7 linked regions of the Ovis aries genome follow. The protein of the gene in region 4 interacts with the protein of the main gene of each other region in a pairwise test. Links are inferred from orthologs where the notes say so. Each region holds a gene or a part of one and is shown on either strand. Other genes may lie near its edges. The genes, in order: NEDD9, MORF4L1, CWF19L2, NAB2, PHF1, RFC5 and ZMYND19.

Region 1 (4,351 bases), on a different chromosome or scaffold from region 4:
GTTGCCATTCCTTTCTCCAGAGGATCTTCCTGACCCAGGAATTGAACTCTGATCTCTTGCATTGCAGGCAGATTCTTTACAATTTGAGCTGCAGAGAAATCCTTCAGCCATATATAAATAATAAGAAAAAAATTGAAGTGAGACAGGTAGGGGGCTTTGTACATGGTTAATGGATGCTCTATGTCTTTCCCTCCGTGTTTTGTTTGATCCTGCTTCCCAGGTGGCGCTAGTGGTAAAGAACCCAACTGCCAATGCAGGAGACCTAAGAGGCCTGAATTCGATCCTTGGGTTCGATCCAGGGAAGAGCCCCTGGAGGAGGGCATGGCAGCCCACTCCAATATTCTTGCCTAGAGAATCCCATGGACAAAGGAGCCTGGTGGGCTACAATCCATAGGGTTGCAAAGAGTCAGACATGACTGAAGCAACTTAGCACGCAGCACCAACAGCAAAGGTTGGCAGAGAGTGTGTTGAGAGTGGATTAGTCACTTTGCTACATGTTGGCATGGTGTTGACTGTGAGCTGTTCTGTGACTGAGGCTGTAAGAGATAAGCATTTAAGAATGGTGAGGTGCTATTCTAAGAAAATATCTGTAAGGTCCTGAGTAATGTGCCTCATTGTTGGGACAGCAAGTATTTGTTTACAGTAATTCTCAAGGGTTAGTGGAGATTATCTTGCTGAGCCCCAAGGAAGTTCTAGGAAATTCGACTTAAAATCAAGTCTGGTGCTGCATCACGGTTTTTTCAAATCAAAATTTACAATAAATATAGATATTTTCCATCCCTTCATATAATGCAATTCAGCAGTAAAGGTGCTGGCAGCAAAGAAATATCGGAAGTGTGGCCCTGGGAATTTTCCCAAAGGCTATTTTTAAAAAATAGGACATTTTGATGAACAACAATGATAATTAAAATGAAAAATCTGTCAGTGCACTACGGGGAACAAAATCTCAACCAGCTATAAAGTTATTCTAGCTAACATTTGTATCATTATTTATGCCATCTAAACATAAAGCAAGGATTTGCAGGAGTTCTACAAAAATTCCAAAAGCATTATACCCGCTATTCATGGAGAATGGCAAATTTGCTTTGGTTCATTTGCCTTTTATCCCTCACTGTTCTAAAAGAGAACAGATATTACATTGTTGAGCTCTATAGCAGTTGTGATCAACAGAAAAAAGAACAAACATCTTTAATTGTTCACAAAGCAACAGATAATTCCCACAACAGACACTGCTTCTGACAACCGCATATTTAAGGCAGAGGAAAAATAGACTGTGTACATACCATGGGGTTATTCCCTAAAAGTCTAGTCAGCATGACTTGCATTCGGGGGAAAGTCCACTAGACATAATCTAAGCCAGACCGCATCAGTGCATGTTTGTCCCCTGCTCTTCCATTAGCACGGAGTGAAATTTCACAGCTAAAATGTCTGCATCAGCTTCTGAAGGAAGAGAGTCCGTATTCCTCACTGTGACCTTGATTCCCTGATGAACCTCAGCAATACTGGTGATTGCTCTTCCCCCGCTATGCCCATCTTATTATCAGTGATAATGGAAGAGGTGAGTCTCTCACTTTCCTATTTCTTTCCGGTGACACTCTCGCCATCTCCAGCACCTATTTTTGCTGTGTTTTCAAAAAGATGGATGTGTCAGTTGCCGTTGTCTCAAAGCATTTTCTCAGAACTGCCTGGCCAGAAAATCCTCTGCACGCCAGAAGGAGAAAAGAGACCTTTTGAGATATTTGTCAGCTTCATTAACCCAGACATGTGCTTTATAAAAATGGAACTTCCGATAAAGATTTTAGGCACTCTTCGACCTTATTCTCTGCATAATTTAAGGATAAAAAAATCTTATTCTTTGCCTTCTTCTTCTGCATCAGCGTTCCGAGGATTGCTATAGGTTTCCTTCCTTTGTGTTTGTTCCAGTTCAGAATTTTACCATTTCCTTTTTCTGTTTGTATTTCTGATTTCATGATCACTCCATTATTTTATTCATCTTCAGTGTCCCCATGTGGGTTGTTCGTATGACTGGTGACATCAATGACTGCTGGCATAGCATAATCTCAAAGAACTCTCTCATAAGTACTCGTTTTACAAGCCATCAGTTACTTAAGGCATTTGGCAATAATGTTTGCTTAGCAGATCAAGTGGTTTATCTTCTAAGTCGTGTATCTTACATTTCTTTGCCGAATTCTGGCTTCTGTCTAGATCTTGCAGGAACCTGAAGAAAGTCACATGGGGCTGCATCAACTTCCTTGTTCAGTTGGGGACAGTCTGATGATGTCGCCCACCAGCTAACCTGTTCTTCCCTTCCCTCCCCGCAGTGTGTGTGCCTGTTGGGGGAGGGAAAAGGAAACCAGACTAGGTAGCCAGTTGGAAACGACCGGTGTTTTTATTTTCTTTCTTTTTTTTTTTAAATGACTGTGTCAGATTTAGTACCAGGGTCTAGCTGACCTCATAGAACACATTGCAAAGCGTTTCCTCATCTTCTGTTTTGGAAAACATTTATGTAAGTTTGATACCTTTTCTTACCTTAATGTTTAAAAGAGTTCACCAGTGATACCATCTGACCCTGATGTATTTAAGGAAAGAGTTCAATCACAAATTCAGTTTACTTAATAAATGCATTTTCAGCAATATTTCCTATTTCTTGTTGTGTCTGTTTTGGTAAGTTGCATTGTTTAGGAATTTCATCTAGCTGTTGAATTTATTAACATCAAATTGTTAATAATATATGTAGCATCTGTAGTATATTCACACATTTATTCCTGGTGTTAGTGGTTTTTCTTATTTTTTTCTTGATTAGCCTATGTAGGGCTTAAGTATCAGTTGTTCAATCTTGTCTCTTTGTGACCGCATGAACTGTAGCCTCCAGGCGCCCCTTTCCATGGGATTTCCCAGGCAAGAATACTGGAGCTGGTTGCCCTTTTCTTCTCCAGGGGATCTTCCTGACCCAGGAATCAAACCTGGCTTTCCTGAACTGCAGGCAGATTCTTTACCATCCGAACCATCAGGGAAACCCATGTGGGGGGTTTCAAATTTGTTATTCTTTCAAAAGGAAAAAAATGTTTTGTGTTAATTTTCTCTGTCATTTATGTTTTCTGTTTCATTGGTTCCTTTTCTTTACTATTTCCTTCATTCTATATACTTTGGATTTATTTACCTTTCTCCACTTACAATGAGGTTATGTCCCAATAAACCCATTGTGAGTTGAATATATCATAGAACTCCTCTGTAGTAATTCCTCACAGGAATTAAAAAACATTTACTTAGTTATATTCAAAACAATATATATTTTCTTTTGAGTTTTTTAATTAAGAAAAAGAAGAGCAACTCCTGATATGACTCAGAAGCAACCGCGAAATCAGATTTCAATTCATGTAACCTATCCCTTGGTCAAAATAGTAAGTGATACCAAAGAAATATCTGTGTGTCAACACATTTGATTATGCACTGCTTTTCTTTTGAAAATAGAAAATCTCAGGTGTCAGCATATCAAACAGGAACTACAAAAATGTTCTCCATTAGGTTTTGGACAGGTAACATTCATTTGCTTTTAAACATGTTATAAAAGCTGAAGGTTTTACTATATAAATCTTGTGGTGGCAATTTGTACCACCCACCAGTTTTAGAGGCTCCATGAATGATTAAAAAGAGTTTCACGTCTTTGTGAGGCGTCTTAGGAACCTAATGATTTATTTGTGTTCCAACTGCTGCCTTTTCTCCCTTTTGTGTCTTGACAATTCTTATCATACATTCCTTACTGGTGATTTAGTAGACACAGTGAGCAGATCTTAACTTTAAAATTATACAGCTCCCTTATTTAAAGCTGCAGGCTATCTGTTCCAATGTCATTTTGCTTCTTTAGCAAACTTTCACTGATACCTTGTTATATACCAGATACTGTTCGGAACTGGGGGCCCCAAGAAGCATTGTCCCTTTTTTTTTTTTTCATGCGTTTATAGTCTAGTGGGCATCAGAGAAATAATTGTAGTAAGTTTTCTAATAGAGAAATGTTCGAGCTGCAAGGGGAGGCAACCCAGGCAGTCTTCAAAGGAAGAGATGACATTTCAGTGTGATATTAGGAGTATGCAAAATGTTATAGCTCAGTAAATTGAACCCTTATGATTTTTGCATTTAAATGTATGTAAATTTTATCTGAAAAAACTAGCAAGTTATTCAGCTCTAGTTAATAGGAGTGCTTTTTGCAGGGATATGGGTTGGCAATTCTGAAAAGTCCATCTGTGTATTATAGGCTTTATTTATATATATGAAATAAATATGAAATATGTGTTTATTGTTAAGCATATTGATTGTGATAAATATACTCTTGTTTATAAGAAAATTTTCTCAT
Region 2 (3,855 bases), on a different chromosome or scaffold from region 4:
TTGATAGTCTACTTGATGCTTTTTCATGTGAAGGGTTTTTTTTTAAAGCAAAATTTCCCTTCTTCTATAAATGACCTCTCCAACTTGATGTATTTTAACTCGGTATTTTCAAAACTTATTCATTTCGAATAGCCACATCTTCAATGAAGCCCAAACACGACCCTCTTAAAGTTACATCTTTATAAGATTAAATGTATCTTCTAATTTGTCAGTAACTGCCTAAAAATGTCTAATTTTTAGAACATGCCGGTGTTTTAACCTCAGCTTCAGAAATGTAAACGGTCAGTTATACTTTTAAAACTTCTTTTCAAATTCATAACTTGAGTTATAAATATAGTAAATTAGACATTTAATTCACTTATGTAAAAATCCTAAACTATTATACCCACACACATACACGTGTAACTGATATGCTTTCTCAGCATTTTTCTGTGGGTTTATTAAATCAGTAAATCAATTTAATGTGACCTAGTTAAGTCAATTCAATCTTAATACCAAAGAACTATTTAGTCTTATACAAGAACACAGGGCTTAAAACAAACATATGATGAGTTAGGGATAAAACCTGGAAAGAATACACCTAGTGCAACACATGAAATAAAGATGTATACAAATATATCCTTTATCTAAAAAATAATATTTTCACTTCAGTAATTAAAAGAAATCTGTATGCAGGTCAGGAAGCAACAGTTAGAACTGGACATTGAACAACAGACTGGTTCCAAATAGGAAAAGGAGTATGTCAAGGCCGTATATTGTAACCCTGCTTATTTAACTTCTGTGCAGAGTACATCATGAAAAACAATGGACTCGAAGAAGCACAAGCTGGAATCAAGATTGCCGGGAGAAATATCAATAACCTCAGATATGCAGATGACACCACCCTTATGGCAGAAAGTGAAGAGGAACTAAAAAGCCTCTTGATGAAAGTGAAAGAGGACAGTGAAAAAGTTGGCTTAAAGCTCAACATTGAGAAAATGAAGATCATGGCATCTGGTCCCATCACTTCATGGGAAATAGATGGGGAAACAGTGGAAACAGTGTCAGACTTTATTTTGGGGGGCTCCAAAATCACTGCAGATGGTGATTGCAGCCATGAAATTAAAAGACACTTACTCCTTGGAAGGAAAGTTATGACCAACCTAGATAGTATATTCAAAAGCAGAGATTACTTTGCCGACTAAGGTCCATCTAGTCAAGGCTATGGTTTTTCCTGTGGTCATGTATGGATGTGAGAGTTGGACTGTGAAGAAGGCTGTGCGCCGAAGAATTGATGCTTTTGAACTGTAGTGTTGGAGAAGACTCTTGAGAGTCCCTTGGATTGCAAGGAGATCCAACCAGTCCACTCTGAAGGAGATCAGCCCTGGGATTTCTTTGGAAGGAATGATGCTAAAGCTGAAACTCCAGTACTTTGGCCACCTCATGCGAAGAGCTGACTCATTGGAAAAGACTCTGATGCTGGGAGGGATTGGGGGCAGGAGGAGAAGGGGACAACAGAGGATGAGATGGCTGGATGGCATCACGGACTCGATGGACGTGAGTCTGAGTGAACTCCAGGAGTTGGTGATGGACACGGAGGCCTGGCGTGCTGCGATTTATGGGGTTGCAAAGAGTCGGACACGACTGAGCGACTGAACTGAAAGCAATGCTTCTGAGTCAAAGTTCCATGACTATTTTATCCGTATTGTAACAGGACAGACTAAAAATTCTAACATGCAATTATTAACATAAATGTAAGGAAAGACTCACATTTTCAACAGTAGGGTCTACTCGAGCCCTTTTCTTGCGAGGAGGCTGAGGTGTCTCACTAGTGCTGCCACCATCTCCATTTCCAGGTGCTGTAAAATTTTGGGGGTATGGAAGGGAAATTGTTGGCTTAATGAGTAACTCTTTACTCCTTGACCCTTCCATTACACAGACGTTACTTAAATCTACATTGAAGAATCAGATTCCTACCAAAAATATACCTCTTATGAACAGCTCATCTAGTACAAAGCAATATTTAATATTACCATCTATTTTTTATCTCAGGGTCAGTCATTAAAAAACACAAATAGAATAAATGCTTATGTTTTTCCACAGTAGAATGTCAGTTCTCTACGGCTATGTACCTAACTCTGTAACACTGCTGTGACTCATGAGACCATCAACATATGCTTACTCTAAAACTTCGTGACTTAAAATTTAACAATGAATTCAAAATGCAAATGTTACAAAGGCAGATTAATTAATTCAGACAGTTAATATACTTACTCTTCTGTTTGTTCTTTTTTGTCTTCCTGAAGGGAAAAAAGGAAAAAGCTAATTATCACTATTGTCTCTGGTTTAAATTCCCTTCTACCAGATTGAGTCCATAGAGAAATACTGCCTTAATGGTAAGATCAGGCAGCTATCTTTGCCTGATCTTATTTCTTGCATATTCTTATTTATTACTCAAGACTCAAGGACTTTTTTTTACTGATAGCTGGCTCAATCCACATCTCCCTCTAGACAGCAGAAAAATCAAAACCATATCATAAGATCTTCTCCCAGGGTTTTATTATTTATGTCTATTAGTAAGTTTATAGCATGTAAATTATATTAAAAAGAACCTGCTTCATAAGACTATTAGTTCAACAAACACAAAAAAACTCCAAAGATTAAAATATTTTCCCCAATTACTTTAGAACCAGCATAATTTGACGTTAGACTTATGTTTCACACCAATGCTCTCACTGGTCAAACTGTTTCACTTTATTTCTTCTCGAAACTACATTCCTTTCTTTACAACACTAAACACTCTGCTCATCCACAGAACAAAGCCTGTGTCTAGACTATTATGTCTAACAGTAATTTATCTCATGGCTATTTATGTATGCACCGACAGTGAATTACTAATCCTGACATAATATCTAATTATTTCTGGAACACAAAGAAAAAAGTTTATAAAGCCATGATTATAGATTATGCCTAGAGGGACCATCACATTACACCTGAATGTGTTTGCTTTTCTACAGTTTTAATATTTATAAATGTTAACTACCTGTGTTTACTCTAAGTTTTCCAAAGATCAACATCATGGAAATATGTTACTACTTATTAACAAATAAAGCTATGAATTAATCTCAAATAGTAATCCTTGCCAAATCAATCAATTATCTTAACCAAATCAATTATCTTACCAAATCCATTAATCCTTGCCTAATTATCTTCTTACCCCCCCAAAATAAAACTGCAAACATTTCAAAATGCATAGTTATCTTCAATACTGTCTTTAATCTTTAGGTAGTAAAGTCACACTAGTTAAGGTCTAAAAGCAATAGAATCTAATCTCAAGGAAAAAGATACTGAAAAAGCAAATCTAACCCTCAAATCTCAAAACTTGTGTCTTGAGAATCCAATGCTAATGCTTGTAAAAGAAAAACACATTATAGGCACACGTCTGTTCTAACTTGAATGACTGTAAGGGTGTAAGGGAATTCCCCGGTGGTTCACTTGTTAAGACTCTGCACTTCAACTGCACAAGGCAGGAGTTTTGCCACCCAGTATGGCCAAAAAAGTAAAGATTAAACAAAGGAGGGGTTGTGTATGTACTTAATGCCACCCAACTGTACACTTAAAAATGAGTTAAGTGGCAAAAAAAAAATTTCTAAGGAAAATTAAGGAGTCAATATGTAATCAATATATAGTTTCAATAACCCAACGCCAATGAGGTTCTCATTGGCATTTTTCAAATCACAACAATGTTCCAGTTTCCACTTTCAATAAATTCTAAGTGTATCAAGCTTGAATTTCACAGTGTGTAAAATTAAAACAAAGAGCTTCTTACACTTCAACATTTTTCTGTTGTAGCCCAGCAGTCTTCTTTCCAGGGGC
Region 3 (3,855 bases), on a different chromosome or scaffold from region 4:
AGTCAAATTGCATAGAATTGCACATAGTAAATACTCAGTACACCAAAATTGCATAGAATTGCACATAGCAAATACTCAATACATTTTATTTGTGATGATGATGATAATAAATTGACCCCTGTGATTCAAGCTTAAATTTTAATCAGTTTTTTCTTTTTTAAAATTTCATGTAATAGTTTTATCACAGAACTTATAGATGCAACTTCAGTATGCCATAGTATTATCAGACACAACTGAGTGACTAACACTTTGATTTTACTTTTTTCATGACACTGTACAATAAACTGAATAAACCACTGCCTTTTCTTCACTACCTTTATTTTCATTTTTTAGTTTATGGGAAAAACAGACGGAGATTATTATACTCTGGATGACATGTTTGTCTCCAAAGCAGCTGAGAGAGAACGTTTTGGTGAAGAGGAAGAGAATCAGAGGAAAAAAGCTATTGCTGAGCACCGGAGTCTTATTGCACAAATGGAAAAATGTCTGTATTGTTTTGACAGCTCTCAGTTTCCCAAGCACCTTATTGTTGCAATAGGTGTTAAGGTAAGAAACACAGTGATTATTGTCCTAAGGAAATGCTTCTTTCTCCATATGCTTCTAAGGTTCTCAGTAATCCGTCTCTTACTCTGTGTTTTATATATTTTCTTTTCTAAGTTCCCATGATTCTTAGAATTTTCTTTAGATTGAGTATAAATATTCAAATGATATGAAACTTATATTTCATGTAATTCCATTCTACAGATAGGCAGCATTGAGTTGTGCTTCAGGCCCTAGACTTTGGATCCAGACCACGTGGATTCAGACCCTTGCTCTGCCATTTCCCATCTGTGTGATCTTACTTTCATGATTGGCACTTAAGTCTCAGTATTAAAATCACTTCGGAGCTACTTACTTTAAAGTAGCTTCTGCTTCTTCCCTTACATTCTTATGAAATCTTTTTATTTCTTTATAGACTATCTCATAATTTGAAGAAGTTTATTGTACAGTTTCTGCTTGGTAACCCACTGGGGATTGGTTTTACAGTCCTTGTATATGAAAATCCACAGATGGTCAAGTCCCAGTCAGCCCTTCATATTTGTATTTTGTTTTACTTGTTGAGTGTCTCTCTCAGTAGTCTGTTAGTTCCATGAGTATAGGTAACTTTTACTTATCATTGTATACTTGCATATATCTCATTATATACCAAACATGTATGTTTACAGTCACTTCTTTTGATATTCTTGTTGTTCAGTCACCAGTTGTGTCTGACTGTTTGTGACCCCATTGACTGCAGCACACCAGGCTTCCCTGTCCTTCACTGTCTCCTGGAGCTTGCTCAGGCTCATGTCCATTTAGTCGGTGATGTCATCCAACCGTCTCGTCCCTGTCGTCCCCTTCTCAATAAATACTAAATATCACTTATTTAATAGCCGGTAATAATAGTCATTTATTTCAGCATTTGGCAATTTAATCCTTATGTTAAGTAAATAGTTATCATGTACCAGATGTATGCCAGAACCTAATTAGTCACTGGGGAAAAGTAGAGAATCGGATATACTTGTGTAGCTAGTTTTCTAGTGAAACAGAGCAGAGTAATGATTGCCCTGATTTAAGGAACTGTTGTTATGAAACAGATATAGAGAGGATATGTGGGAAATGATGGGAGGTTATTTTTTGAGAAGCTGATCTAAAAGGCTTCTCTGAGGAGATATTTTAAAGGTATGAAAGTAAAGCTATGAAAGATGAGAAGAAGCAAGCAACATGAAGATCTGAATGAGTAATGTTTCAGAAAAAGGTGTCAGTCAATGAGTGAAGACAAGAGGAAGGCATTTATGGAACAGAAAAAAAAAAAAAAAAACAAACCCAGAATAGCTAGAGTGGAGTGAGTGAGAAAAAGTGGTAGGAAAGGAAGTTGAATGAATGAATGCTAGTTTCAGAAACCAATATTGTGGAGAGTATACATATACATATTATTTGTTACACACACATACACAGTACCTTTGTAGCCAAAGAACTGGTATTGACTTTTTCATTCCAGTTCTAGTCTTTAATACCTTTAGGTCATTAAGACCATCAGTTTATCAGTTTGAATTTTGGTTTCTTTAACTTTTAATTTTTCGTTACCCTTCTTTTCCATTTCTTTGTTTTCCTCTAGACTTTATCAAAAGTGTGTGTGTGTGTGTTAGTTGCTTAGTCGTGTTTGAATCTTTGTGACCCCATGGACTGTAGTCTGCCAGGCTTCCCTGTCCATGGAATTCTCTAGGCAAGAATACTGGAGTGGGTTGCCATTCCCTTCTCCTAAGACTTTATCAAAAAGTAAAAGTAAAAAAGTCCATTCAAAATTTAATCAGTCAGAAACCCTTAACCAATCTTACCAGTTATTTGTGTTAATTTTCCCATGTTCTTTTCTAGACCATTAAATAAACATTTATATTTTCATAATTAGGACATTTTATATAAATATTTCATTCCCCTCAGTCTGGCCCCTACCTTTACGAAATGTAAGGATAAATTCACTTTAGTTCAGTAGCTCAATTGTGTCCGACTCTTTGCGACCCCATGGACTGCAACACGTCAGACCTCCCTGTCTATCACCAACTCCTAGAGTTTACTCAGGCTCATGTCCATTGAGTCAGTGATGCCATCCAACCATCTCATCCTCTACTGTCCCCTTCTCTCTCCTTCAGTCTTTCCCAGCATCAGGGTCTTTTCAAATGAGTCAGTTCTTCGCATCAGGTGGCCAAAGTTTTTGAGTTTCAGCTTCAACATCAGTCTTTCCAGTGAATATTCAGGACTGATTGCCTTTAGGATGGACTGGTTGGATCTCCTTGCAGTCCAAAGGACTCTCAGGAGTATTCTCCAGCACCACAGTTCAAAAGCATCAATTCTTCGGCACTCAGCTTTCTTTATAGTCCAGCTGTCACATCCATACATGAGTACTGGAAAAACCATAGCCTTGACCAGATGGACCTTTGTTGGCAAAGTAGTATCTCTCTACTTTTTAATATGTTGTCTAAGTTGGTCATAACTTTTCTTGTAAGGAGTAAGCATCTTTTAATTTCATGGCTGCAGTCACCATCTGCAGTGATTTTGGAGCCCCCAAAAATACAGTCTGTCACCATTTCCACTGTTTCCCCGTCTATTTGCCATGAAGTGATGGGATCAGATGCCGTGATCTTAGTTTTCTGAATGTTGAGCCAAAGCCTTTGACTGTGTGGATCACCACTCACTGTGGGCAGTTCTTAAAGAGATGGGAATACAGACCACCTGACCTGCCTCTTGAGAAATCGGTATGCAGGTCAGGAAGCAACAGGTAGAACTAGACATGGAACAGACTGGTTCCAGATAGGGAAAGGAGTACGTCCAGGCTGTATATTGTCACCCTACTTATTTAACTTAGCAGAGTATATCATGAGAAACGCTGGGCTGGATGAAGCAGAGACTGGAATCAAGATTGCTGGGAGATTGTCAGATATGCAGTTGACACCACCCTTATGGCAGAAAGTGAAGAACTAAAGAGCCTCTTGATGAAAGTAAAAGGAGAGTGAAAAAGTTGGCTTAAAGCTCAACATTCAGAAAACTAAGATTATGGCATCTGGTCCCATCACTTCATGGCAAATAGATGGGAAACAGTGGAAAAGAATAAATCAAAGTAACAAAGTTTTCAATAATTCTATATAAAAAGTTTGGGTATTTTTCAGTGACTTCATTTTCCCAAATGCACTGAAGACATGCTAGGTCCACACAGGCACAGAGGTGTGAAGTATACAAAACTTCTGTTTGCCTCCTGCTTCATAGACTGTGTCCCATAGTAGGCATTTCTCAATTAGTGACACAAACTGTTGGCCAGCAAAGAGACGTTTTCTATTTTCA
Region 4 (4,484 bases):
CAGAGGGCAGCACCCAGAGCTTCCTATGAATGCCAGGGACCTCCTCCAATCCTGTGGGGTCCTGGGTGGCATGGAACTGGACAGCTGGCCTCTTGCCTGTGTCTCTGCATCCCCCTCAGTTGAGCAGGGAAGCACAGCAGCAGCTGGGGTTGGTGGAGGAGGGGATCAGGACTTTGGGTCCTGGTCATGGGGCAATGAAACAGACTCGGCAAATGTGAGGATTCTCAGAGGTAAGCAGGTCAAGCTCTAGATGTCCCAGGCAATCCTGGTAGGCTGGGGCCCTCACCTCGTGCAGGCTGAGCTGCTTGCCCTCCCGCCGCTTGGAGTCAAAGCGGCCGTAGATGATGCTGTACTTGCGGATCTCCTCTTCCTTCTGGCTGTCGTTATCGTCCATCTCAAAGATGTGGCCCACACTCCGTGCCAGCTTCTTGTTCAGCTTCAGCAGGGATGTCACCTCCCCAGCATCCCCCCTCGGGAAGCTTCGGAAGATCCTCTCCACGCTCTCCACCACCATGCGCACCATCTCTGGCTCCAGTCGATCTGGACCACTCCCAGTCCCAGCTGCTGCCAGGCCCCCAGCCCCAGTCACCTCAGGGCCGCCTCCCCCTGCTGGTGGGGAAAACGGGGGTGAGCCAGCCTCCTCTTCTCCTCCTGCCCCAACATCAGACTCTGGAGTGCTCCGGCCTGGCCAGATCCGGGGGTCCCCCGCCCCAGGGCCCCCAGGCAATGGTGACAGCTTCTCTCCAAGTTCAAGGGGGCTCTTGGGGCTAAAACTGCGGGCACTGCCCGCCTTTTCCCCCGGGCTGCCATGCCCATTGCTCATGCTCCCTTTCCGGGTCCCTGCCGTCTCAGAGATCTTGAAGAGTGGGATGCTGGAGACAGGCACTGCAGGCACAGGCTGGCTGAAAAGCCCTGGGTTGGTGGCCCACTCTCTCAGTGCCTTCTGCAGGCGTCGGACGTGGAGGGGCTTAGTGGCCATGCCCACGAGCGCCATGATCTCCAGGAACTCCTCCTCCCCCGCCTCGCACAGCTGCTGCACGTCGTCCCCTCCCTGCTGGATGAAGGTCTCGTAGTAGGAAAGAAGGTTGGCACGCTGAAGGACCCGGTACAGCTGCAGCTCCCCCAGGGTCCGAGGCAGGGCCATGGCTCGGGAACTGGGCCTGGGAAGGAGGCGCACAAGGTTGGGGGGGACAGTCAGTGCAAGTTCCCTGCTGGGTACCAACCCATCCTCACAATTGTCTTCTCTTTCCTGCCTGCTTCTCTTCCCCTCTTTTGAATGCTCTCTCTGCTGAGACTTGAGCACAGACTAGGCGAACCAGCCACTGTTCAGCAGCAGTGCTATCCCAGACTGGCTAGAAGTACCAGAAGCCAGATTGGTCTTTGTGGGAGTCAAAGGCTCCAAGCTCCCCCATCCTCAGCTTTTACTTTTGTGGTCTGGGGCAAGGAGACCATGAGTATGAGGCCAGTCAGTACACCCCTGGATTAGCTGGACCAATGTCTCTTCCAGAGCACCATCCTCACCTTCCACCCTACACTCCTAACAGTCTTAACAATACAAAGTTAATGTCCACGCTGAGGTGAACATAGGACCCTTGTCCTCCCTACAGGGGAAACTAGGACCACTGCTGGCCAGCTTTATTCCCTGGTGGCATCCTGCTCATGTGGCTGAGCAGGAAAGGTGTGGCCTCTTCCCCTGCCCTTTCTCACTGTGAGCCAGGCAGACCATCCATCCTCTGCTCCCTTTTCCCACCCCTGCTCAGCTTTTCGCACGGCTTAGGCATTCTTTGCACCTTCTTGCTCTCTCCCCAGGACCTCCCCTACCTTCCAGACTGCCCAGGGCCCCTCAGTTGGTCCCTCTCCCAGCAGTGACCTTCCCACCTGCTCCATAGGTAGGGCCATCCCTTCAGCTCAGGCACGGGGGAGGGGAGGGGTGCCTCAATTGTTCTGCTCTGGGGCCCGGTGCGCCCCCACACACTCCCACAGTGGTAGCGTCTGTGGGCGAAAACCGCCGGGGGGGGCCTCCCGCCTACCCTTCTCTCCTTCATTTTTCCACCCACATCTTCAAGTGTGGGGGAGCGATTCAAGGCCTCTTGAGGGAGGGGTTGCACATCGAAACTCCCCTCCCCACTCTGTAAATAAAGCTACAGAAATGAACAGACGCCTAAGGCTTGCCCCGCGTCTGCAAAGCTCCTCTGATGCTCTCTTGGTTCAAAGGCGCCGGCTTATCCCGGATCCCGGAGCCGCGCGCTCGGTACCAATGACGCGCTGAGCCAGCTGAGCGGCCCTCCGCCGGCACTATTGTCAGCTAGAGCCCCAGGGCTTCCCCTGCCGCCTGGGAGCCCCCGTATTCTTTGCAGGGGGCTCACATGCCAGGTCATGCCCCCCAAATAAACGGGCAATGCAGAATTAGATACTATTCTTTCTCTAGTCTTTCCAGTTGCATCAGATCTCTGTCTGCTCTCAGGGCCCCCTAATTCGAAGACGCACCCCCTCTCCGTCAGTCTCCACCCCCCACCCCCGTCCCGCTTCCCCTCGTCCTCTCCTCGACCTCCGCCCTCCGGACCCCTCTCCCGAGTCCAGCTCCACCCATCTCCACTCCCCGCCGCTTCCCTTTGCCCACTAACTTGAGTCTGGGCTGCGGAGTCCGGCGGGCGCTGTCCCCTCCGCCCGGCGGCTGCTCGGCTGTGGGGGAGGCAGCTCTGTGCATGGACGGCTGGAGACTACCCGGGGTGCCCTTCTCAGTGCCCGGCGTTCAGCGCCTGCTGCGCGCTGCGCTCTTCCCCGCGCGCGAGGCCGTGTCCGCCGCTGTCCGGGCTCCGTCCCTCCCTCCACGTCTCCTCTCTCCGAGCCTCCGCGCCTCTGTCTGTGCCTCTGCCCCCCCCTCCCCGGCTGCGCTTGCCGCCTCTCCGCGCCTCCGCCCCCGCAGGACGCACGGGGAGCGAGGCCCGGCGCAGCGCTGGCTGCCGGGCGGGCGGAGGGCGTGGGCCGAGCCGGGGGCGGAGGCCGGGGGCGGGGGGCGGGCGCCCGGGTCTCTCCGCCGGGCCGGGGAGACGCCGCGGCGGAGAGACAGAGAGAGGCGGAGATGTTGGGGGGAGGGGAGGAGTGTGGAGATGGAGGCGGGGGCGGGGACTCAGCCCGGGGCGCCGAGTTGGAGACTGAGGTGACCGAGGCCGGGCTGTGGAAGGCGGGCTTGGGGATCCAGCGGGCGGGGCGAGGTCGCTCCGTGCCGCCCACGCCGGATGCACAGCCGGCCTTCTCCGCGCCCACGTACCCACGTGAGCGCCCAGCCGGCGACATTCTTACTCCCACTCCCCCTTCCCCTCCGAGAGGAGAGCGGAGTTTCACAACCACGCACAGGTACACAAAGACACCGAGCAGCGCAAAGGACGGGCACACGCGTCTAAACAGCTATGCGGACGCCTGCTGCCCACACTTGAACCTCGCGGTGCTGTACTTGTAAACGTTAGGAGTGAGCCGGGAAAAGTTGTTGGAGACTCGGGGTGCGCGTCTCCTTTCGTGCGTCTGACTCCCATAGAGAGTGCGCTTAAGGCAGGTCTGTGAGCGTGGGCTCCGCAGGAGTCTCTTCCATCTCCAAACGCACTTTCCCAGCCCCTAAAGGAGCTGTTTGAAGAGGCAGTTCTCGGAAACCCAGGCGCCCTTCCATCCTGGCCTGGAGTCCACGTCCAAGTTTGGGAAACAGGAATGGGCGGGGCTTGTTAGAAGCTACCACTTAGACGCGCGTCGATTACAGTCGCGACGGGTTTTGCTGGCGCACAGGTCAGGCAGGCATGGGAGGGGTACCCCGCCTTCCTCTACTCGTCGCACCCTATTTGCTGAGGATGGGGACCTGTTCCTGGGAAACTGTTGTGGCAGCCCTGGGAGAGAGAGGATACCCTTTCTAGGGACGTCTGTTAGGGCACTTGGCCCGCAAGAGTCCAGAGTTAGATGGGCAGCAGGCCGAGTGTGTCCAACGTGGCTCCCTACCGAGGAGTGGGAGGGAGGAGCTCCTTCGAGGAGCCTACCCCTCTCCGAAACCCACTCCCTACCCCCTTTGTTTCTCCCAGCTCCATCTGGTTCCCATTACACTCCCGCCCACGGCTGGGAGGGCGGACAGGCGGGGGCTCTGAGCGCCCGGCCCTGCGGCACTAGGCCCCGAGGAAATGCAGGAGGGTGGGGGGAGGCGGCGGGAAGCGAGCCGGCTGGCCAGAAGCAAGGTTCCCCCTAGTCCAAAACCTCGGCCCCGCCCACCCTTCTGCACTTCTGAGTGGCCCGGGGCGGCCTGGAGTGGGTGGCGTGGGCCAGGGCTGGTTCTACATTCCGGCCTGGCGAGGGGACCTTTCGGCCTTTAGTGGAGGGCCGGAGAGGAGGGGTGGGGGTGCATCGCATCACCGGGGGGAATTTCGGTAGCCCAGATTCTCTTCTCCATTCCATAATGCCACAAACACGGGGGTGGGGAGTGATAGGAACGAGCTGAGTCCTCCGTC
Region 5 (4,483 bases), on a different chromosome or scaffold from region 4:
CCCATGAATCGCAGCATGTCAGGCCTCCGTGATTTTCTAATTTTCTCAGCTGTTCTACATTTATTAATCACAATTCTTGAGAACTCTCCCTTGTCATCTATTTGGTTATTCTGAAATTCAATCCAGATAGGTAAGATGGGATAAATGCTATATTCTTCATCAATTTTCACTATAAGTTGGTATCCTGGCAACTTCCAAAGGTGACCAGTGAGTTTTTATCCAGGAGGTAACATCTTGTACTTTTGGAATATATCATTTGAAGTCATTATTCTTTCTGATGCTCAAATTGCCTGCCTTTGGCCAGTGGAAGCTCCAACTTGGCTCCTGTGCCCTTTAGACAAGTTCTCAGTAGTCCTTTCTCCAGATTCATCTTGTACATTTCCTGCCCTAGACTGAAGATCATTAATTTTCTAAGGAGCTTTGGTTCCTACGTTTATGATGATGTGTTATCTAGCTTATTGAGCACTAGTGGTGGGAGGGCTTTGAGGGTGTCTAGAAGTGCCTTTCTCTGCTCCTGTGAGGGGCTTCTGTCCTTTCTCTGGCCTTTCCTCCTCTTCCAGATCTAGTGTGGACAGTGGGCGCGGGAGAACTGAGACCAGCCTGAACCTGCTTTCAGAGCCCTTATTTCAGGACTCTGAGGGCAGCCCTAACACTGAGGGTTCAGAGGTGATTTGGGGAAAACTTTTGGTTGCTCTGAAAATTTTTTTATCCTGTTTTGTCTAAATCCCCTGTCTGCAGGTGAACCAGTGTGTTATTGGCACAGCCCAGGCCAACAAGAAATGAAGATGGATCTAGATTGTGTGTGTGTATGTGTGAGACACACGGGGGGGGGGGGAGGGGGGTAGTGGGCGCTGATACCTGGGCCTATCAAATAAAGAAGAGAATTTTTTGTTGTTTTTAAATAAAGGTTTTATTAGCGGTTGTCCAATAAGGGGGGAGCTGTGGCTCTTCCATTCTGCCAAACGTCTGTGTCTCACGGGGACAGGGCTCCGGCTTTTCTAACGGGTCACTCCAGAGTCAGGGTGGCCCCCGCCCTGCTCCCGTCCCTATCCACGTCCGGGGGGTTGCGCGCACCAGGTGTCCAGTCACTAGTTCCGCTTCCTCCGGCACAGGCCACCCTCGCCCGGGGCAGGAACTCTTGAGTGCGGAAAGGTGGGAGTCCGGGGCGGGGCCGGCGCGTCCGCCCACAAGCTGCGGGCTCTCTCCTCCCGCTCTTTTCCTTCCCTTTCGAACCGCCGGGGCTAGCTCCGCCCGCCGCCATTGGCTGGCTCTCGGCGGCGTCACCGCCTCGGTCCGAGCTCTTCTAGTCGGTGCACCCGCCTCGGCCGCGCGGGGCGGGGCGCATAGGCTAACTCCCTCGCGCCAAGCGCCGAGGGCCGCCGCCCCGTCAGAGGGCTGGGTCTTCCCAGGTGCCGCGCGCGCGGGAGGGGTCGCGCGTGCGCAGAGGCGCGGCGACAGTGGGCGGGGTGGGGGCATCTAACTCCGGGGGGGCGGGGCCGGGGCAAAGGCGGGAGGAGGCGGAGCCCGCGGAGGCCGGGGCAAAGGCGGGAGGAGGCGGAGCCCGCGGGGCCGGGGCGGGGCGGGGGCCATGGGACGGGTGAATGGAGGGCGGGGTCGTGAACTGGAGCGCGGGGCGGGGCCCGGAGTGACCCTGCGGGGCCGGGGGCAGTTAACGGATGTGGCGCGGGGCGGCGGCCCGGCCGGCGGCCTAGCGGGGGATTCCCTCCTGCCCCGAGGGCAGGCCTCTCTCCGGAGGAAGGGGCTGCGGGGATTCCCTCTCCCGCCGGGTCCGCGAGCCCGCCCGCCCCATCCACGGAGACGCTCCCACTCGCTCCGCGCCCTCCAGGCCCGCTGGCGGTGAGGGAGGTGGGGTGAGGAGGTGCCCGCCCCCCCGGCTCCTCCTTCCCCCCGCCCTCCCCTCCCTCCACCCTCCCCCCGAGCAGGTTTGTCCCTCCCCTCCCCTCCCCTCCTTCCCCCCGCCGCCTCCTCCTGCCGCTGCCGCTGCTTTGGCTGCTGCGTCATACGCCCCAGAGCCGCCGGGACGGAGGGGCTGGGCCTGGGGACCCCCCGGTCTCTGCCTGCACGCCCCCCCGACGCCCAGCCGTGCCCTCCCCGCGCGGGGGTTTCACCTCAGTCTCCCACGTCTGCCTCTGCCCGGCTCCCGGCGGCCCCAGCTGTCACTGGTAAGGAGGCGGCGGGAGGCGCCCGTGGGGGGGCAGGGAGCCGGGGGTCGGCGCGCAGGGCGCGGGCGGGAGAGCCGCGCCGCCCGGGCGGCGGGTCGGGCTGGGCCGACTCAAGCCCCCTCTCCCACTCGCCGTCCTGGGGAGAAGAGACCCGGACTGGGACACGCCCCCCTCCCGGGGCACTCAGGGAAGTTCTCTAACCCGGGGGCAGGGAGCCCCGAATTTGAGGGTGACCTGACATAACCTAGCACCAAGATGATTGTTCTGAATGAGACACGGGGGCCCCGGAGGCAACCTTTTCCACTCGAAAACATCTCCAGAAAAAGCTCCCAAAACACGTCTCTGGGAAACAGCACCCCAATTGTAATACCTCTATAAACAGCGGTAGAAGGTGACAGTAGAAACTGAGTGGCAACCTTTGCCTCTGCAACCATCCTTTTTGCTAAAATCTCAAGGCCGGGATACAACGTCCCAGGGGAGCTCTGGCAGCTGGGAAACTAGAGAACTAGGTTGGTGGGGTGGGGGGACGGTGGGGAGAAGAGAACCACTGGTGACTGTTGGGAGAGCTGGAGTCAGGAAGGCCCAAGGGGTGCCCAGGGGTTTCCTACCCAGGTGTCTCAGGGAAATGGAGGCTGGGCACACCTGCTCAAGCCTTTGACAGAAAAACAGGCAAAGAAAATGGGGGCTAGTTCCTCAATATTGGTAACTTTCTCCTACCATCTCACTTCTAACTAGGCCCCCCCAGGATGCAATGGCACAGCCCCCCCGGCTGAGCCGCTCTGGTGCCCCCCCACTTTGGGACCCAGCTTCTCCTGCTCCCACCTCAGGCCCCCGGCCTCGACTTTGGGAGGGTCAAGATGTGCTGGCCAGATGGACAGATGGGCTGCTATACTTGGGGACCATCAAAAAGGTATGACCTCTGACCTGTCACCTTTTCTCATTCCCCTTATCTAGTCTGATTCCTGTTCCATCTTCTGTGCTCACCCATTCCAGGTGGACAGTGCTCGGGAGGTGTGTTTGGTTCAGTTTGAGGATGATTCCCAGTTTCTGGTTCTATGGAAAGACATTAGCCCTGGTGAGAAGCCTGAGAATGGATCCAAGGGAAAACAAACCTGGCATGGGGGACAGAAAGGGGCTGGAGGACAGGCCCTCTGACACTCTGTTCTCTCACAGCGGCCCTCCCTGGGGAGGAACTCCTCTGCTGTGTATGTCGCTCTGAGACTGTGGTCCCTGGGAACCGGCTGGTCAGCTGTGAGAAGTGTCGCCATGGTGGGTGAGAGGGCAGGACACCTGAATGGTCTAGCTTGCCCTAGGTCTACCAGGGTGCTTCTGATCCTTCTCTCCAGCTCTGGTCCTTATACTGTCTGTCCTGGTCTGAGTCCCCAAGCCACTGCTCTGAGCAGTCTCCACAAGCCTGTAACCTCACTCCCTGCCAGCACAGGGAGGGGCAGCCTTGGGATGGGATGCATGAGCTCTGCGGGCAGAGGGTGTGAGTGAGCAAAAGTCTCTCAGTTGTGTCTGACTCTTTGCTACCCCATGAAAAGTACAGTCCATGGAATTCTCCAGGCCAGGATACTAGAGTGGGTAGTCTTTCCCTTTTCGAGGGAATCTTCCCCACCCAGGGATCAAACCCAGGTTCCCCACATTGCAGGCAGAATTTTTACTAGCTGAGCCACAAGGGAAGCCCAAGCACAAGAATACTGGAGTGTGTAGCCTATACCTTTTCCAGGGGATCTTCCTGACCCAGAAGTTGAACCAGGGTCTCCTGCATTGCAGGTGTTCTTTACCAACTGAGCTATCAAGGAAGTCCCAGATGCAGGCAGAGGGTAGTTCCAGTACGGCTTTTTCTAACCATTTGACCTTGGGCAAGTCCCTAAACTTCTAAGAATCACAGCTGCCTCACCTGCTTTTAAAATAAAGATAATACACCCACCTTACCAGGACCATGGTCAAGAACAAAATGAGATGGGGTTAAGACTCTTGTCCCAATACCTAGCGCGCACAGGTACGCAATGCAATAAGTGGTCTACTGTCAATATTCTCATTATTCAGCTTATCACCAGGACTGCCACGTTCCAAGGGCTCCAGCCCCTGGAGAGGGAGAGGGCGCATCCTGGGTCTGCCGCCAGTGCGTCTTTGCCATCGCCACCAAGGTAAGGGCCCCTCCCTGTGGGACCTCCAACTCTCAGCCTCTCCTGGACCCTTCCTTCCTCCACCCCTGAGGCCACCTGTCTGTTCCACCTGCAGAGGGGGGGTGCACTGAAGAAGGGCCCCTACGCCCGGGCCATGCTGGGCATGAA
Region 6 (4,505 bases), on a different chromosome or scaffold from region 4:
GACAGGGAGGCTTGGCATGCTGCAATCCATGGGGCTGCAAAGAGTTGGACACGACTGAGCGACTGAACTGAACTGAACTGAATACTTGCCAAAGAACCAAGAACACAATACTCATTGGATAGTTTCTACAAAAAATAATGTTGGAAAAACTGGATATCCATATGATAAAGAATAAGGTCATTATACTAAATGAAGTAAGTCAGACAGATGGACATTGTCATATCACAGCCCCATCTGACCCCCTTCTGACTCCCCAGGAAGGGACCAGGGTGAAGCCATAACTGTCATTTTATATTTGCCCTCTGTCCCTCTATTCTACTCCTAAAATGGGTGACAGTGTGGTAGTAGGAGGCAAGGAGCAGCTACTTCTAAATCAGAACACTTGTAATCCTGGGTCAGCCTCATCTCCTCTCAGGATTGTTGTCTTTCTCAGCATGGCAAAAAAAAAAAAACCAACAACCAACAAACAAAAAGCAGGGACTTCTCTGGTGATCCAGTAGGTAAGAATCCGAGCCTTCAAAGCAGGGGCCTGGCTTCCATTCCTGGTCAGGGAACTAAATTCCACATGCCACAGTGAAGAGACCGTGTGCTGTAACAATGATCCAACAGGCGGCAATGAAAATCTCGCGTGATACTGCGCGCCCCAACTAAAACCCAGCGCAGCCAAAACAACAGCCAAACTTTATTACGGATATAATACACACTTATTGCTGGGAACTACAGACCAGCAAAATAGAAAACATAAGTGGTTCATAATCCCCTTACCTCAGAAAAAAAATACTAACATTTTGATACCAATTCTCCTCAGCAGCTTCACGTCAGAGGGACCCTGTCCTCTTCGCTTACTAACTAGCCCTTTCCAGTTACACATATTAACCTGGAGGGAAGTTACTTATTATTTACTTTTTCCTCTCTGGAGTTGTTTCTGGAGGTCGTTCTGTAAATTTTGTTGGGTGAGGGGCATAGATTTGAGAGACAGACTGAAGTTGGAGTTGTGCTTGGAGTTGTTTTTCAGTTTGAAGTGCTCACCTCCTAGCTTTGGGGGCAAAAAGTATTTCAAGCCTTGTTTTTTATGGTATCTGTATTCAAGAACTGGTCATGTCATTTCGGGTTGTTTTACCTCAGAATTTTTTAGCGCTGGCCGCTTTCTGTTCCCTTGAAGGGTAACAGCTATAACTCTGGTGACGACTGGAATTGGCTTTGGCCGTGAGACTTTAATTTGTAATGATGATTGGTGGCTGTACGGGGTGGCCGTGCCTCTCAGGCGCGCGCTCCCTCTGGGTTCAGGACTCTGGTCTACACCAGAGAGGGGAGATCCAGCTAGAAAAGGGCGGAGCTGGGGCGAGGCGTCCGCCCGGGCCTGCCGGCAACCAGGCAACAGGGCCTTAGCAACGGGGAGGGGGCGGGACCTAGGGAGGAAGTCCGATGGCCGCTAAATCTCGCGAGAGTTGCGTTTGCGCGCTAACTCTAAGTGCGAGGGTCCCGGGGTCTGGTTGTGGCTGTTGGCGAGGTTCGGGCCTCTGGGAAACGCGACAAGCCCACCGGCCACCATCATCACCATCATCATTATGGAGACCTCAGCGCACAAGCAGCAGCAGCCTGAGGCGGCCAAGATCAGAAACCTGCCCTGGTAGGAGGGGGCCTGGCTGCTGCGGGGAAGGGGATCGGCCGCGCGCGGAGGCGGTGGCCCGAGTGAACAAGTGGCCAGTCTCCAGCCCGACCTCGCCCCGCAGTCCCCGGACTTGAGGCCGGGGTGGAGCCACAGAAGTTCACCTGCCCTCAACTCCCCAGTCCTGCTCCATTCTATTTATAACTGGCTAGGTCTCCCTTCACCCGTAACCCAGGGCCCCCTTTCCTGTTGCGGAAGAGGAAAACGGCTTCCCCACTTGGGTGACAACATGGGTTCGATCCCATGTCTTCTGACATTGCCTTGGCCTCTGTGGCAGAATATTCTCTTGACAAAATAGTCTCTTCTCTCGGTGCGATTACTGGTCACATTCTAAGCTAGAATAATGATAATGATGATGACAGCACTTCCTAGTTAACTTATATTTCAGTGACTTTGTTACACGCACCCTATTAGATGTTGGAATTTTGCAAAGACCCTGGGAAGAAGATACTGTTATTCCAGCTTTACCAAAAGGTTAAATGACTTGCTTAAGGTCTAGAGTTGGAAAATAGGTTTGGATTTGAACCCAGGTGGTCCACATTCAGAGCTTGCATTCTTAGCCAGTCTGCTTCCACAACTGTGTCTTACTGTTGTTTTAAAGACTGATAGGATTTGGCTTGATTTTGAAAAACTTATTTCTTTTCAAAAGTTTTCAAGATAATGAGTTCGGTTTGTTGTTACTATAGTAAAAATATATAACATACAATTTACAGTTGTAGCGATTTTGTAGTGCATTCAGAATGTTGTGTGATCATCCACTATCTAGTTGCAAAGTTTTTCATATACCTCAAATGGAAACAATATACCTATTGGCAGTCACTCCCCATTCCCCTCTCCCTCAGCTCCTGGCAACCACTCATCTACTTACTGTCTCTATGAATTTGCCTATTCTGGATATTTCATGTAACTTGAATCATACAATATGTAGCCTTTCATGACTGGCTTCTTAGATCAGCAGTTCATGTCCTTTTATTGCCAGTAACATTCCACTGTATGGCTATACCACCATTTATTGATCCATTCATCTGTTAATTTATATTTGGATACAGGTTCAATTTTGGATTAACGTTAGGTGCCCATCCAGGTTGAGATTATAGGCAGATAGCTGGAAAGGTGAAATGAGAGCAGTTTTTCAGGGGGGCGTGGCCACAGGGGTTAGCCTGTGCATTTCATAATGTTTAATAACTTCCCTGATGACTATCCACTAGATGCCAGTAGCACCTTCCACCCAGTTTTGACAGGGGAAAAGTCTGTAGATATTATCAAGAGTTCACTGGAGGACAGAATTGCCCCAATTGAGAACCACTGGGTTAGAGGTTTTTGTATCTCTCTTCTTTTAGTTAGGATATGTATGAAAGGACTCTTCTGCACCTAACAAAATATTCTGGCCTTTATATATGTTGTAATGCATGCTACATTGTATTTTAGGGTTGAAAAATACCGGCCACAGACACTGGATGATCTCATTTCTCATCAGGACATCTTGAGTACTAGTAAGTATCCCTGTGTCAGTGGCTGGTATCCTAGTTGAAGAACCTGGATACATTGCTTAGGGATGTGGTCTCTGCTGTGATAACCTTAAAGAATCTGACTAAGCTTTTGGGATGTGGCTCTGACAGCTGCATCCTTCAGATGTTTCATTCCTGCCCGTGCCCTGGATTTGAACACAGATGTGAAGTAGACTCAGCCCAACTCTGGCCCGCGGTGAATGAGGCGACTGAGACTGATAGCATCTGTCTTTCTCCCCCCATCTTCAGTTCAGAAGTTTATCAGTGAGGACCGCCTGCCGCACCTCCTTCTGTATGGTCCTCCAGGGACAGGAAAGACATCCACCATCCTGGCCTGTGCTAAACAGCTGTACAAAGATAAGGAATTTGGCTCCATGGTCTTGGAGGTAAATGAGAGGATTACCCTTAACTTTCAACGGACTCTGGTTTCTTATTTTTAGTTCTGCTAGTTTTGTTTTCCAACTTAGTTGCCCTGCTGGTGGTTGGGAAAGAAGCAGATATACAATATTTCAATTCACTTTTCCTATAATTGACATTTTTGCCTGGAGATTTTGGGTGTAGCTAGAGGGCAGTGGTAGGGCCAGGTGTTTTTGTTTGCTTTTGCCAGCTTTTACTCAAACACTCAGGGGTCACTTGGTTGCTAGCTGTATCCCATGTGCCCTTCTCCATGTTGCTCCACACTGTTCTTGTCCCAGAAGACTGGGCGGTGTTGCCGACAAGCTCCCTTGCCCTCTGGCTCCTATTGGGTTTGGCCAGGAGTTGGGGGAAAAATGATGCCTGGTCCAGCCCTGGGTCACCACAGACGGACAGTGTCCCCACCCACAGGGCACAGCACCCAGCATTCCCCAGGAGCCAGCATCACTCCCCCAACAACCCCTTAAGACTTGAGAGTGGTAATGGGCCCCAGTAGCCCATAAGGTATTGCATAGCTCTTGTGGTTTCTCCCACACCTCACGAGCACCTTTGAAAATATCTCTTCATTTAATTCTCTTCAAATTACCGAATTTGAGTGTGCTGTTTACTGCTGGGACACGACTGATCCACTTAGATTATGAAATTCTAAATATTGTCTATTGTTAAGAAAAAAAATGGTTTAACTTACTTTTTTTGTTATAGATCTTAGAATCTTTCTGCTACCAAGATTCTTAATTGTTCTTACTTCAGTTTATTAAAGACTTGCTAACTTCTGAGTTGCTCTGGGTTGTGGTAGCTAAAATTAGTATCATTCTGCTCCTGCCTGGGGTGCTGTTCACTGTGACCAGACCAATTAATTATTCCTCCAAAGCATGTCAGTGATTGTCCTCAAAAGGGAGAAGAAAGATAGTCAT
Region 7 (4,435 bases), about 160 Mb from region 4:
AATACGCTGGTGAACATCAGTCTATACTCAGGTATCCGATTGCCTTATAACCTTAGCCTGTGGCATGAGGAATAAATATATTTTTATCTTGCTAAGCCGCTGACAATTTAGGGTTGTTTGTTACTGCAGCATAACCAGGGCTATCCTGACTGCCGTCAAAGGTGGCCCCAATACCATCATTTCTTAGTCGGGTAAGCTTGCATTAGCTCCCTAAACGTCCTGCCTGCTCCCACCCTTCCCTCACTGTCTGCATCAGCTGCCATGATGCACTAAAAAGCTATTCCTCCTTTCCTATCCTCCAATGGCTCCCTTTTCTGAGTGTAAAAGTCACAGTGCTCCCCAGACCCCACACCCTTCCCAACCTCCACCTCTCTGGCCATGTGCCCTGTTGCTCTGATGCGTTCATTGGCTCACAGAGACCGCCTCCGCTTTTCAAAAACGCCCAGCTGGGGCCAGATTAGGGCCTTGGCACTGGGCTCTCCCCGCTGCTGGGGATGCTGTTCCCCTGGAGCCCGCAGAGCTCACCCGCTCTCTCCCCCCCAGTTTGCTCAGGTTACTTGGCAGTGAGATCTACCCCGCCTCCACTTTCCCGGGGCCTCCAACTCCCTGATGCTGGTCTACTCGTTTCCCCACAGCGTTGATCACTTTCTAACAAGGCGAGTAACTCGCTGGTCATGGGCCTTTTCTGCCTCCCTCGCTAGAACAGGAGCAGGGGTTTGCTTGGTGCACCGGTGTAGAGCGGTTTCATTGGGGGTTGGGAGCGAGAGCCATTTGGAGTGGTTGCCAGGAGACAGGTATACCCCCAACCCCCGACCCCGAATCGTCAGGTCTGGGAGTTCCTGTTCGGGAAGGATTTGGAGCAGGCTTTTCAGCGCCCCTTCTCGAAGCCCAGGGAAGGATCGTGTCGCACAGGCATGGGCTATGGGATCCTGATCCCGGCCCATGCGCGGAGGCGGCCAGGGAGAAGGGCGGGCGCAGTTCCCGGTCAGCCAACAGCGCTCGCTGGGCTCCCACGTTCCGAGGGCACTGGACCCAGCCACGGAGTCATACGGGCCCCGGGACTCCGGATCCGCGAATCCACCCCGGCCTCCAGCCCTCTGTCCAGGGACTAGTCACAGGGAGCCGCAGCCAGCCCCGACCTGCAGGGCCCGGACGGCCCAGGGTGCCCAGCCAAACCGCCCGTTGCGCGGGCCGAGGCCGGGCTCGGGGGTCTGCGCTGCGAGCGGGTGGCGCACCCTCCCGCACAAAGCTTCCCGCGAAACTGACGTAGCGCCGGGCGGCCGCGCAGGCTCCGCCCCCGGCCGCGCCCCTCCCCGGCGCGCTCGCCGCGCCCCAACGCGCCTGCGCACTCGCCCTCCCGCCACTGGCTGCGGCGTGGCGGCGCGCGCCGGCCGGCGCCCTGCGCGCCGCGCGATTGGCCAGGCGGCGGCGGGCGGGGGTGTGTCCGCCGCGCGCCCCGCCCCTGGCTCCGCTCGCGGAGGTGCGCGCGGCGGTGGTGGCGGCGGCGGCGGCGGCGGCGCGTGGCAGGTCCGGCGGGCGCCCGGCGGCGGCGGCCCGACCCCGGCCCAGCCTCGTCCCGCCCGCCCGCCCGCCTGGCCCCGTTCCCGGCCCCCACTCGCCCGCCCGGCGCGCCGCGGCCCCGCCCCGGCACCTCCCGAGGGAGCGGCGCCGCCGGCCGAGCGCAGGCCCGGCCATGACCGACTTCAAATTGGGCATCGTGCGGCTCGGCCGGGTGGCCGGAAAGGTGCGCGGCGCGGCCTGGGGCCGGCGTCGGGCGGGAGGCGTGGGGCGCCGGGCCGGGGCCGAGGGCCGGGGCTGGGGTGAGGCTAGGGGCTGAGCGGCGCTGGGGGGCGCGGGCGCGGGCTGGGAGTCGGAGTCGGCGTCGGGGGTGCGAGGCTGGGGGCGCAGGGCCCGGCCAGCGCGGCGGGACGCACGGGCACAGGCCCTAGGTTCGCCGGCGGCCTGGTTCCTGGGGCAGCTTTGGTCCAGTGCCGGCTCCGGCCGTGCGCCGTGGGTCGAGGGCTGCGGCTGTGCCTGCGGCCGCGGGGAGCGCAGGCCCTTCCGGGGCAGCGCGCTCGGTCTCCGGCGGCCCCTGCGGGTCCGTAGTGAGCTTCGCGCAGGGCTCGGGCTGCTCGCGGCGGCCCCGTCGGGCTGAGCCTCAGTTGGCCTCGGCCGAGCGGGGCCTCCCTCTGCTTCTCTCCCTTACCGGGCCCCGCCCTCCGCGTGTTCGAGGCTGGGGCTTCCTGGCACCTGTGGGCATTGAGGCTTGGCTGTTTCCAGGAGCCGGCCGGCCGTGCAGCTGAACCAGCCACGGACCTTACCCTGGATGGGAACCCTGTTCCCATCACCAGCGGCGGAAGCTTCTGGTGGGAGAGAGGAGCAGAGGCAGTCAGATGAAGGTAAAGCCGGTTCAGATAACTAGTAAAAAGCTCTCCAAGCGAAAGTGAGACTGGTCCATTTCGGGGACCGTTTCCTGCCCTCCCGCAAAGGGCAGTCACTTTCTAACTACGGAAGGGTGGGCTCCTTATTAGCCTTGCGATCTCTGCAACTCAGCGGTTGTCTGCAGTAATGCCATCCTTTAAAACTTTTACTTGGAACGTGTTAGACGAAGAGATAGGAGGGACAGTTCCATGAGCACCTGTGTGCCGCCTGCCTGATGGTTGGAACCTTCCAGATATTCTGCTTCAATCCCGGGGCCCTGCCTCTATTCTTGTGACACCGTGGTCTCGGACTGGGCTTATGGACACATTGACACGCACAGCTTAGTGGATGAGCAGTTAGTTCTCAGGCACTTCTCATGGCTAGTCGTGAGCAGACGGCAGGTGGGGCCTGGCGCCACAGCTGTGCGCTGTGCTAAGTGGGGAGAGAGCGGCCTTTGGCACATCTGCCTGCCTTCAGGGTGGATTGGCCGCTCTGAGCCCGTGAGGGCTGCTCCTGCCTACTGTTAGTGCCCTGTGCTGATTCCAAATGTGACGTCTTCAAACGTTAATTTCCAGACCAAGTATACGCTGATAGATGAGCAGGACATCCCGCTGGTGGAGGGCTACTCGTTCGAGGTAAGGATTCTGCTCCTTTGCTGGCCTGCCTACGGTCGTGCCAAGGGGGGTCATGAGGGGTAGGTCTTCACCCCTGTGACGTGAGGCAGGCCCTTGCATGTGAGCTGCTCAAGCAGGCGGGTGAAGCCCTGTCCAGAACCCTGGTCTCCAGGGAACCTGTCTGTCAGTGTGGACCCCCCCCCCCCACCGCCTCCGTGATGCTTGCTGTCTTTCTCACTTCCACGTTGCTTGCAGGCTCTTCCCAAAAAAGAGACAAATGGTGCCATGTCTGTGATTGAGTTCAGTCGGATAAACTGCTGTGCCCAGGGAGACTGTCCAGGACTGCCCCACCTCCTCTCCAGCCTCGGCCTCCTGCAGGGCCCGGTGCCTTTGTTCTTACCTGGCTGTTTGGGCTCCAGTCCTCACCTGCCTGCTCCTCCCTCCACCCTGTAGACCCAGCCCACTCCTGTCTCACCCTTCACCCTTTTATGCTTGCTTGTTCCAGGGCTTACCTTTTTTTTACTGGATTAGGGACTTTTTTTTTTAAGGGTAGGGAGATTTATTTCCCTGTGTCCACGTCCACAGTATTTTGCAAAGAGTGGTTCTTAAGTGTGTCTTGCCTTCATGTAGGCGGGTACTTCTCCGTGCCACGTGTCTGGAAGCCTCCAGAGACCACCAAGGTCCCAGGAACAGGCCTGGCCTTTGTCCCTCTGGCTTGTTTCCTTCGTTTTTCTAAGAGGAATTTGGAATGTTGTGGAGAATTGCAGGCTTTTTAACAGAGCTTTTTCTTGTTTCTTCTCAGGCCCGGATGGAAGTAGACGCAGATGGAAATGGTGCTAAGATATTTGCATATGCCTTTGACAAAAACCGAGGGAGGGGGTCGGGACGGCTCCTTCATGAGCTGCTGTGGTAGGTGTTTCCAAGCTGCTGCTTCCCTTTCTGGGTTAGCACCAGCCTTGCGGTGCGAGGGGCTTGGGCAGCCAGAGGCCCTTCTGCCTCGTCGACAGATGATACCTTGCCCAGGCCTCCCAGTCACGTCTTTGTCATTGCCCCTGCCTGGAAGGATGGCTGCTCTGCGTCCCCTGGCGCTGGCAGGGTGGCCTGAGAGTCTGTAGGCCATGTGCCCTTCCTGCTCCCAGCACTCGGGCCACAGCGCCTCTGGAGGCGGGTGGAGTCTGGCCCCTTCTAGGTCCCTTTGAGCTTGGCGGTGGGGCACGGGGAAGAGCCGTCCTCCCTTCTGTGTGAACGCTGAGGTTCCGGAGTGCTTGGGCCCACTCAGCGGTGTCCCCCAGGCTGTGTGCGAGGTGGCTTGGGGCTCCACCTTGGCTCCCTGGAGCCTAGCGCTCAAGTCCAGGGGCTGGCCTGTCCCCTTTGGGCCACAGACCGGCAGACTTGGGTTC

Evidence for each region.
Region 1: the proteins of NAB2 (region 4) and NEDD9 interact in binary tests that used the Homo sapiens proteins (3 or more experiments, as listed by UniProt). The two-hybrid records come from large-scale screens. The link is inferred for Ovis aries from reciprocal best matches to the Homo sapiens genes NAB2 and NEDD9.
Region 2: the proteins of NAB2 (region 4) and MORF4L1 interact in binary tests that used the Homo sapiens proteins (3 or more experiments, as listed by UniProt). The two-hybrid records come from large-scale screens. The link is inferred for Ovis aries from reciprocal best matches to the Homo sapiens genes NAB2 and MORF4L1.
Region 3: the proteins of NAB2 (region 4) and CWF19L2 interact in binary tests that used the Homo sapiens proteins (3 or more experiments, as listed by UniProt). The two-hybrid records come from large-scale screens. The link is inferred for Ovis aries from reciprocal best matches to the Homo sapiens genes NAB2 and CWF19L2.
Region 5: the proteins of NAB2 (region 4) and PHF1 interact in binary tests that used the Homo sapiens proteins (3 or more experiments, as listed by UniProt). The two-hybrid records come from large-scale screens. The link is inferred for Ovis aries from reciprocal best matches to the Homo sapiens genes NAB2 and PHF1.
Region 6: the proteins of NAB2 (region 4) and RFC5 interact in binary tests that used the Homo sapiens proteins (3 or more experiments, as listed by UniProt). The link is inferred for Ovis aries from reciprocal best matches to the Homo sapiens genes NAB2 and RFC5.
Region 7: the proteins of NAB2 (region 4) and ZMYND19 interact in binary tests that used the Homo sapiens proteins (3 or more experiments, as listed by UniProt). The two-hybrid records come from large-scale screens. The link is inferred for Ovis aries from reciprocal best matches to the Homo sapiens genes NAB2 and ZMYND19.

The regions. Positions count from the first base shown.
Region 1 is NC_056073.1:44,062,607-44,066,957, forward strand, and holds the start of NEDD9 (enhancer of filamentation 1), read left to right. Parts: upstream 1-1,346; 5' UTR 1,347-1,558; intron 1,559-4,351. UniProt on the Homo sapiens protein: Scaffolding protein which plays a central coordinating role for tyrosine-kinase-based signaling related to cell adhesion. As a focal adhesion protein, plays a role in embryonic fibroblast migration.
Region 2 is NC_056071.1:22,952,150-22,956,004, reverse strand, and holds part of MORF4L1 (mortality factor 4-like protein 1), read right to left. Parts: coding exon 3,809-3,855; intron 2,280-3,808; coding exon 2,254-2,279; intron 1,839-2,253; coding exon 1,750-1,838; intron 1-1,749. UniProt on the Homo sapiens protein: Component of the NuA4 histone acetyltransferase (HAT) complex which is involved in transcriptional activation of select genes principally by acetylation of nucleosomal histones H4 and H2A.
Region 3 is NC_056068.1:15,806,213-15,810,067, forward strand, and holds part of CWF19L2 (CWF19-like protein 2), read left to right. Parts: intron 1-333; coding exon 334-546; intron 547-3,855.
Region 4 is NC_056056.1:162,521,780-162,526,263, forward strand, and holds the start of NAB2 (NGFI-A-binding protein 2), read right to left. Parts: upstream 2,866-4,484; 5' UTR 2,708-2,865; coding exon 2,625-2,707; intron 1,161-2,624; coding exon 287-1,160; intron 1-286. UniProt on the Homo sapiens protein: Acts as a transcriptional repressor for zinc finger transcription factors EGR1 and EGR2. Isoform 2 lacks repression ability.
Region 5 is NC_056073.1:7,741,062-7,745,544, forward strand, and holds the start of PHF1 (PHD finger protein 1), read left to right. Parts: upstream 1-1,667; 5' UTR 1,668-2,183; intron 2,184-2,918; 5' UTR 2,919-2,934; coding exon 2,935-3,093; intron 3,094-3,176; coding exon 3,177-3,258; intron 3,259-3,356; coding exon 3,357-3,452; intron 3,453-4,235; coding exon 4,236-4,336; intron 4,337-4,430; coding exon 4,431-4,483. UniProt on the Homo sapiens protein: Polycomb group (PcG) that specifically binds histone H3 trimethylated at 'Lys-36' (H3K36me3) and recruits the PRC2 complex. Involved in DNA damage response and is recruited at double-strand breaks (DSBs).
Region 6 is NC_056070.1:57,206,291-57,210,795, reverse strand, and holds the start of RFC5 (replication factor C subunit 5), read left to right. Parts: upstream 1-1,463; 5' UTR 1,464-1,568; coding exon 1,569-1,630; intron 1,631-3,097; coding exon 3,098-3,162; intron 3,163-3,426; coding exon 3,427-3,563; intron 3,564-4,505. UniProt on the Homo sapiens protein: Subunit of the replication factor C (RFC) complex which acts during elongation of primed DNA templates by DNA polymerases delta and epsilon, and is necessary for ATP-dependent loading of proliferating cell nuclear antigen (PCNA) onto primed DNA.
Region 7 is NC_056056.1:397,925-402,359, forward strand, and holds the start of ZMYND19 (zinc finger MYND domain-containing protein 19), read left to right. Parts: upstream 1-1,551; 5' UTR 1,552-1,693; coding exon 1,694-1,744; intron 1,745-2,280; exon of another isoform or gene 2,281-2,393; coding exon of another isoform or gene 2,394-2,399; intron 2,400-2,996; coding exon 2,997-3,056; intron 3,057-3,837; coding exon 3,838-3,944; intron 3,945-4,435. UniProt on the Homo sapiens protein: May be involved as a regulatory molecule in GPR24/MCH-R1 signaling.